2 linked regions of the Coturnix japonica genome follow. Each later gene encodes a partner of the first gene's protein in a complex. Links are inferred from orthologs where the notes say so. Each region holds a gene or a part of one and is shown on either strand. Other genes may lie near its edges.

Region 1 (4,110 bases):
CATCAGTATTTACAGCTTTGGTTTTTCACCTGTTATCTGCAAGTTTACCTCATTAGCACTGGCTACCACAAACTCTGAGAGCGTGCCTTGTTTCCACGGAGGAATTGCTGCCCATACCTAAAAACAAACAGAAAACAACTACCAACATCTGTGCACAACATCAAACCTGTTATCAAAACGCAGTGAAGACAGCCCAGATTCAGAGCGCAAAAATGTAATTATTTTCTTACTATGGAAAGGCAGCTGAATAACTCATGGTGTATTTTAACTATGTGTTTTTAGAGAAAAAAAACCTGAGTAGTGGTATCACCTCATCTCCAGGTTTGAAATAAGACACACTAAGTCCACATTCCATGATAACACCTGAGACATCCCGACCAAGCGTTAGTGGGAACTCAGTATCCATGCTCTTGATTTTCAGGGGATCCCGCTTCATGTTTAACGCAGTTGCACCGTAACCACCTAGAAAATGTGAAATTAGCCGTTACAGACCTTGGTGGGATTTAAGGCCTGGTCAATGCCCACCATCTCACAGAATCACAGAATTGTAGGGGTTGGAAGGGACCTCTAGAGATCATCGAGTCCAACCCCCCTGCCAAAGCAGGCTCCCCACACCATGTCACACAGGTAGGCATCCAGGTGGGTCTTGAATATCTCCAGAGAAGGAGACTCCACCACCTCCCTGGGCAGCCTGTTCCAGTGCTCCGTCACCCTCACTATAAAGAAGTTCTTGCACAAATTCATGTGGAACTTCCTATGCTGTAGTTTCATCCCATTACCCCTAGTCCTATCCCCACGCACTGCTGAAAAGAGACCAGCCACACCACTATGGCTCCCACACCTCAGGTATTTATAAACCTGGATCAAGCCCCCTCTCAGCCTTCTTTTCTCAAGGCCCAACAGACCCAGTTCACTTAGTCCATCTCGCGGTTAGGGCGGCTCGTGCCCCGCCACTTACTTCTCATGCTAAGGTCTATGGGGTTCAAGCTGGCGGCGTGCACTTTAACAATGACCTCGTTGGGGTAGTGTATGACGGGGAACACCATGTCCCGGGTGAAGCGCAGCACCTCGTTGCGGCCGTACTGGTCGATAACCCACGAGGGCATGGCGGACCGTGCCCGTACAGAACCATGGATCCCACGTACCGGCGGTCGCTGCCCGCCTGGCCGCGCCGCACAGCGCAGCGCTGCCCGCACCAGCATGGCCGGCAGCAGCCCCCACCCGCGGCCCGGTGCCCGTCCTCACTCAGGTCCCAATGGGCGGCCGCCGTCTTGGCCGCTCCGCCAATAGAACTGCTCGGTGTTGCATCAAGATGGCGGCACTCAGGGGCTCAGTGCGGCAGCTGGACGGGACGGGAGAGGGGTCGTAGCGGTGTGTGGTGGAGCGGAGCGGGCCGCCATGCTGCGAGCTTCTCTGCGCCAGGTTAGCGGGCTCGGGGCGGGCTGTGTGCTGCGGGGCTGCCTCAAGGTGACCGCGGCTCGTCGGCCCTGCCGTGTCCCGGCGCTGGGTTGGGGTCTGGTAGCAGCTCTGACAGTCGGCGTTCCCCTTTCAGATCTCATTGGCGCTGAAGGAAGGACGGGTCACCCCCACAGAGCTCTGCCAGAGGTGCCTCGCTCTCATCAGGAGCACGCAGGTTCTCAATGCTTACATTACGGTAGCGGAAGAAACTGCATTAAAGCAGGCCGAGGAGGCGGAGGAAAGATACCGAAGAGGTACGTCAGGCTGTTTGTAAGGGTGGCAATCGTGGTGGAAGGGCGCTTTTATTGTACATTGCATCTGCTGTGTGTGCCGGGTGGGCACTCCTGGCTCTTGGGATGCAGTGGGTGCAGGCAGCACCAGGGTAAAATTGACTTACATAGCACACTGATGTAATCCCTGTGGTCTTTGCAATAATTCGAATCCCCCCTGTGGCACAAGTGGTAGAAGTGCCGCTCTGCTACACAGAGGCTCGAATCCCGGGGGTTGGACTCGATGATCTCTAAGGTCCCTTCCAACCCACACCAGACTGTGATAATTCCTAATGCAGGTCAGCCACTGGGTGAGCTGGATGGAATTCCCATTGCAGTGAAGGACAACTTCAATACAGCTGGCATTGAGACAACATGCGCATCAAACATGCTAAAAGGTACCGTATGAAAGGTGCTGTAGAGCTTTTAAAGTGAAATTGGAGCTCTGGCTGAAGAGTGAGCAAAGCCTTCCGCAAGTCAGGCTCTTCTCCTGAGAGGTTTAGCGGAGTGAAATTTTCCATAGATCCAAACATTTTCAAAAATGAGCTGAGCTGATTTGAGGAGCTGTGTTTATCTGATTTCCTCTGTCAAGATCATCTAGTATTACAGGTGGTATGGGAAACTGTTGGTCACAGCCTGAACCTCTGATTAACCATCTGAGCCAAGCAACGAGTCAGCTGTGGGAGCACAGGTGAAGGTAATTCAGCTGTGCTACCTGAAGGGGTAGAGCCTGGGTCCACCTCTCCTAGATCTCATTTAAGGGCTGACCACCACTAAGGTACCATCTCTTTCTGGAGATCACTCCTGTGTGGAGTTTTACAATGTGCCTCAACAGTGGTGGGCATTTGTCATTTATCTTCTTCTTATTATATGACCTCCGTTTATCCATCAGCTTTATAACTGTACAATTGTAATTGTATAAGGGTGTATCTTTTTCTAATGCAAGTGTATTTTCTCATTTTATTCATGTAGCTACGCTGCCATTACTAATACAGTACTTGGTTTTACAGAGGAGAGCAGTCACTAGTGTTTGCTGTTGTGTCCAGCGAAACACAGTCTTTTGTGTTCTGTTTGCATCTATTGCCTTACGTGGTGCTTTCGTATGGCTGTAGGAAGAGTAACTGTTAACAATTCCCTATATTCCCACTTTGTAGAACAGGCTTGTATGACTTTAATTCGTGAACATGTTTGAAGCTTGTTTCTATTACCACTGAAAGGAAATTTTTCAGACACTCTAATGTTTCCATTAGGGTTGAGCATCCATTGTGCAGTTGAAAGCGGGGGGTGGAGAAGTCACTGTTATTATTCACAGAAGTTGGTTGCAACCCAGTATCTCATGGAAGTGGCACAGAACTCATAGTTTATATGCAGTCAAAATGGCTGAAGGTGCATAGAGTTGCTTACAGGTTAGCCAACTTGTGTTTCAGCTTGTGACTGATTATATGCTCCCACATCTCCTGGTAATGGGAATGATTTGAGATAGCTTAGCACTTGTCTGTAAAGAGCTGTTCCTCATTTCTTCTCATTTTAGACCGCTTCTGCAAATTGCCCAAATGCCATAATTTGCTGCTGTTGTGGTAACTTGTTTGTGTAAAGGTTTAACTTCACGTTCTGGAAATGGACAATCCAGGGTTACTGAACTGTAAATTGTGAAGGGAAAAAACATACCATTACAGACAAAACAGTATTTAGTTTACTTTTGCTAAATGTTGAGAATTACCCATATTGTGTATTGGAGCAAAATTTGGGCACTTGTGCAGCGGTGACTTTTATGCACCAATAGTGACATATTTGAGGTGCTTGGAAGAGGAGCTACTTCTAGAAATCAACTGTATCTCATCAACCACTCCCTTAACTGTTTTGCTTGCTTTCAGGTTATGTTCCCCCTTACAATGCTACAGTGGTTCAGAAATTACTGGATCAGGGCGCTGTGCTTTTAGGAAAAACAAACCTAGATGAATTTGCAATGGGGTGAGTGATGTTTATGATTTTTAACATGTGATTCCACATTAAACAGATTCCACACCATCTGTTCCGATCTGTCCATAATCCTTAAACTCTTCTTTCTATCAAGTTAGAAAATAACGCACGCTGATCTGCAAAGAGAATTTAGAGTTGCTTGAATTTCTCAGATATTGCATGAACGTTTTTACTGCTGGGTAAATGATCTACATGTCAGTTTTTTATGAACATAGACTTCAACTATGGCTGTGTTTGAGGGGAAGGACTAGTATAACCTTTGCAGAAAGCAGAGGACGAGCAGACTTCCATATCCAGTAGCAAGTAGATCTGGTTACTGCACCAGCTATTTGTTGCCTTTTTTTTCCTCTTACCAGTGGTTTCTACCCTTAACTAATTATTGTTATGACCTTGATGACAGTTA
Region 2 (3,436 bases), on another chromosome or scaffold:
TTCAGCATCACTGTCACTCAACACTTTGATTATCTCAATCAAAGATGTAACAGGAGTTGTGGCCAACCTGGTGCTGTGTGGTCGTGTGTGCAAAGACAGCCAGGCCTGCGCAGTTCTACTGCAGTGACACATTACATTACAGGAGCAAGAACTCAGATTCAGGATCACTTCAGTACCTCGGAAAAGGCCAAAGAAAGTGGCCTCTGCTTTCACTGTTTCTTCAGTTCTGTTGCAGGCTGCCTCTGTCCCTCCTGGAGGTCATAATCAGACGTTACCAAACAGTCATCCACCTGAACAAAATATAACTTCTTACATTTATTTCATTTAAGCTATTGCAAATCCAGCAAAAGTGCTTTTACACCATCTCTGTTACTGGCAAAACCTGTGCTTTAGGCCCTTGGTGTTTGGGATCATATAAACCAGCCTCCTTCCACCCAAATTCAGCACCACAGAGATAAGACAGAGTAAACCAACCTTCTTGTTAGACGCTTCCTAACATCATAAATAAGCAAGATAAACGGGTCAGAGATTAACTACAGGTTCAACATCTCCCATTATAAAGTACATTCGACAGAAGTTAAATCATCTTTTTGCACTGTTATAAGCCGAACCACCACCACGATTCATTGGGAAGGAGGCAGCAGGCAGCACACCGTGAAGTCTTTTGGCTCGCGGCAGTTTGTTTCTACAGGCACAGAGGAAACCCCACTTCCTACAGTGCTACATGGAGGAAGCAGCTCAGCAAAGCGCTGTCCCGGTGCATCCATCCTGGCTGCTGGGTGGCCGCCGTTCCCAGCCCGTGGGCTCGTATCACTGACTCCCCGCATTCAGCTGAAGTCAGGAGGAGTTTTCAGCTTTCCCTTTGCTCGGGCCCATGAACTCCAGCCCTTCGATGGGGATGTCCTTCTCCTTGATGGCTTTCTGGGAAGAACAACAACAAAACGGTTACGTTGGAAGCACGTTTCAAACGGCACCGAGAAACAAAAGCTTCTGTTCACAACGTCATCTACAAACAGCAGCGTCAGCACCGCCCCGCACGGGCTGCAACGGCACGATGCTGGGCTGTGAAGGCGGCGGCTCGGCAGGGCCCGCACCTGCACGCACAGCTGGTAGCGCTTGAAGAGCTGCCCGCACGGGTCCCCGTCGTTCTCGCCCTTGAGGAACTTCTCTGCGAACCAGCGGTTGAAGCACTGGTCGTACTCGCGCTTCAGCTCGGTACACGCCTCCCCCACGCTATTCATGGCGGCACGGCCCCTCCGACACCGCTACGACGCGATTCCGGCGCGTAGCGATGACGCCACAAACCGCTTCCGGCGGCGCGAGATGTGGGTGCCGGGGTTATGGCGGGGACTGCGGGGCGGGACGGTGAGAGCACTCAGGATCAGCGTGTGCACAGCCAGCGCCGCGCCGACACCGCAGGTCAGACAGAGCACGGGGCCGGGCCGTAACGTACCATGCCATGCCATACCCATACCTATAACCATCACCATACCATGCCATACCATACCATACCATACCCATACCTATACCCATACCCATACCTATACCCATACCCATGCCATACCATACCATACCATACCATACCATACCATACCATACCATACCATACCATACCATACCATACCATACCATACCATAACCATATCATAACCATACCATACCATAACCATACCATAGCATAACCATACCATAGCATAACCATACCATAGCATAACCTAACCATACCCTACCCTAACCATACCATACCATACCATACCATACCATACCATACCATACCATACCATAACCATACCATTACCATACCATACCATACCATACCATACCATACCATACCATACCATACCATTAGTGGAGGTAACGGTTTGAGGAGCCCCATCTGTGCTCTCTTGCAGGACGGCGTCACGATGGAGGTTCTCGACCACCTGGAGCGCCTGGCCCTGGTGGATTTCCGCGATGCCGACGGCGTGGAGCGGCTGCGGGACGCGGTGCGATTCGCGGAGCGGCTGCGGGAGGTGGATACGGAGGGTGTCCAGCCCATGGACTCGGTGCTGGAGGACAGGTAAGGGCCGTGTTGGTGCCCCGTGCACATCCAGCCCCAATGTGCTCCATGCAGACCTCCGGCCGCTGTCCTCAGGTGTCTTTATCTGCGGGAAGATGACGTTACCGAGGGGAACTGCACGGCACAGCTGCTGAAAAACGCCACGGAGAAAGTCGAGGAATACTTCGTAGCCCCACCAGGTACCATAGCTTCTATAGAACTTTTGCATCGTGCTCGAGTTAACCCAACACCTTCCAAAGTAAGGGATGACTCTAATCATCTGTACTAACAAACCAAACCTGGAGCAGGCTGCAAGCTATTGAGCCTAAAGCAGTAGAGGGGTTAATGTTACCTTACAGCTCCTGCCCAGCACTGCTTACAGGAAGGCAAACAGAACTTCCTGACTTCCCTTACATGCTCACAAATCAGACTGCAGTAGCACTGTACGTTAAGCTGCACTGCTCACTGGTCTCTCACAATTCTCTTTTCTTCCAGGTAACATCCCTTTACCAGAGATGGAAGAACGAGATACTTTCCTGAAGGGCTCATAGAGACAGAACCCAAACGCTGTTTCTATATTTCATTTGGGATTACTGCGCTTTGTGTGGGGACAGCTGAAATACCCCAGGAGGGCAGAAACTCCTCCTTAGATCAGAACTGAGTGTCACCTACTTTACACAGTGCGTGTTCTGTATCTGTTTGTAGGGAAAAAAAGTCACTCCCACTTTGCTTCTCTGTGTTTCTGTGTAATGAACAACACCAGCTTTGTGTAAGCGTTCCTTGGCAGAGATGCTAAACAGCCATAATTGTAATTATTTTTCCTATGGAGTCTATATTCTGCATCCCTACAAACAAGACGTGATTAATAAACCAAATCTCTATGCCAATATCAAATTCACTGCAAAGCTTGAATATTAGAGCTTGTGTCAGGTGTGTCAAGAATCAGACCCTGCAAACCCTCCCTTAAGCACAGCCTGGTGAGAGGACAGACCGCCTGATGCTTGTTCCCTGCAGCCTCAACTGTCTTACATGTTAAAAACACATATTTCCTTAATGAAGGGGTTTGTAACAATGTCCTCGCTAATGAGGGAATTACAGCCCTGACTCAGATCCCCACAGCTTGCACATTAGGAGCCCTTGCATAGGGTGGATGAGCTGCCTATGGGGCAGCGTGTTGGTGTCTCTGCTCCCCCCAGCCTGTGTAATGAGTTGGTGCTGCCCTGTGGGATGGCTGAGCTGCACCCAGGGGGAGGAGGCACCCCTGGCTCATATCCTTACGTTGTTCTGCTACAAAACAATTGAAAACAACAGGTAAGTGAGGCAAACATAACACATCTCTGTCAAACAACTGTTCTTCTCAGTGGTTTGTTGCAGCCAAAAGCAAAAGGTCTGTTTGGT

What was found. The genes of interacting proteins can lie anywhere in the genome.
Region 2: QRSL1 (region 1) and GATC share a complex: the UniProt entries of both Homo sapiens proteins name them as parts of the heterotrimeric GatCAB amidotransferase (AdT) complex. The link is inferred for Coturnix japonica from reciprocal best matches to the Homo sapiens genes QRSL1 and GATC.

What each region holds. Positions count from the first base shown.
Region 1 is NC_029518.1:61,918,733-61,922,842, reverse strand, and holds the start of QRSL1 (glutamyl-tRNA(Gln) amidotransferase subunit A, mitochondrial), read left to right. Parts: upstream 1-1,310; 5' UTR 1,311-1,398; coding exon 1,399-1,422; intron 1,423-1,552; coding exon 1,553-1,712; intron 1,713-2,026; coding exon 2,027-2,125; intron 2,126-3,601; coding exon 3,602-3,698; intron 3,699-4,110. Other genes in the region: RTN4IP1 (reticulon-4-interacting protein 1, mitochondrial), read right to left, coding at 49-117, 311-462, 959-1,202. UniProt on the Homo sapiens protein: Allows the formation of correctly charged Gln-tRNA(Gln) through the transamidation of misacylated Glu-tRNA(Gln) in the mitochondria. The reaction takes place in the presence of glutamine and ATP through an activated gamma-phospho-Glu-tRNA(Gln).
Region 2 is NC_029530.1:8,238,685-8,242,120, reverse strand, and holds GATC (glutamyl-tRNA(Gln) amidotransferase subunit C, mitochondrial), read left to right. Parts: upstream 1-1,239; coding exon 1,240-1,419; intron 1,420-1,892; coding exon 1,893-2,059; intron 2,060-2,134; coding exon 2,135-2,238; intron 2,239-2,533; coding exon 2,534-2,589; 3' UTR 2,590-2,936; downstream 2,937-3,436. Other genes in the region: TRIAP1 (TP53-regulated inhibitor of apoptosis 1), read right to left, coding at 838-921, 1,095-1,241. UniProt on the Homo sapiens protein: Allows the formation of correctly charged Gln-tRNA(Gln) through the transamidation of misacylated Glu-tRNA(Gln) in the mitochondria. The reaction takes place in the presence of glutamine and ATP through an activated gamma-phospho-Glu-tRNA(Gln).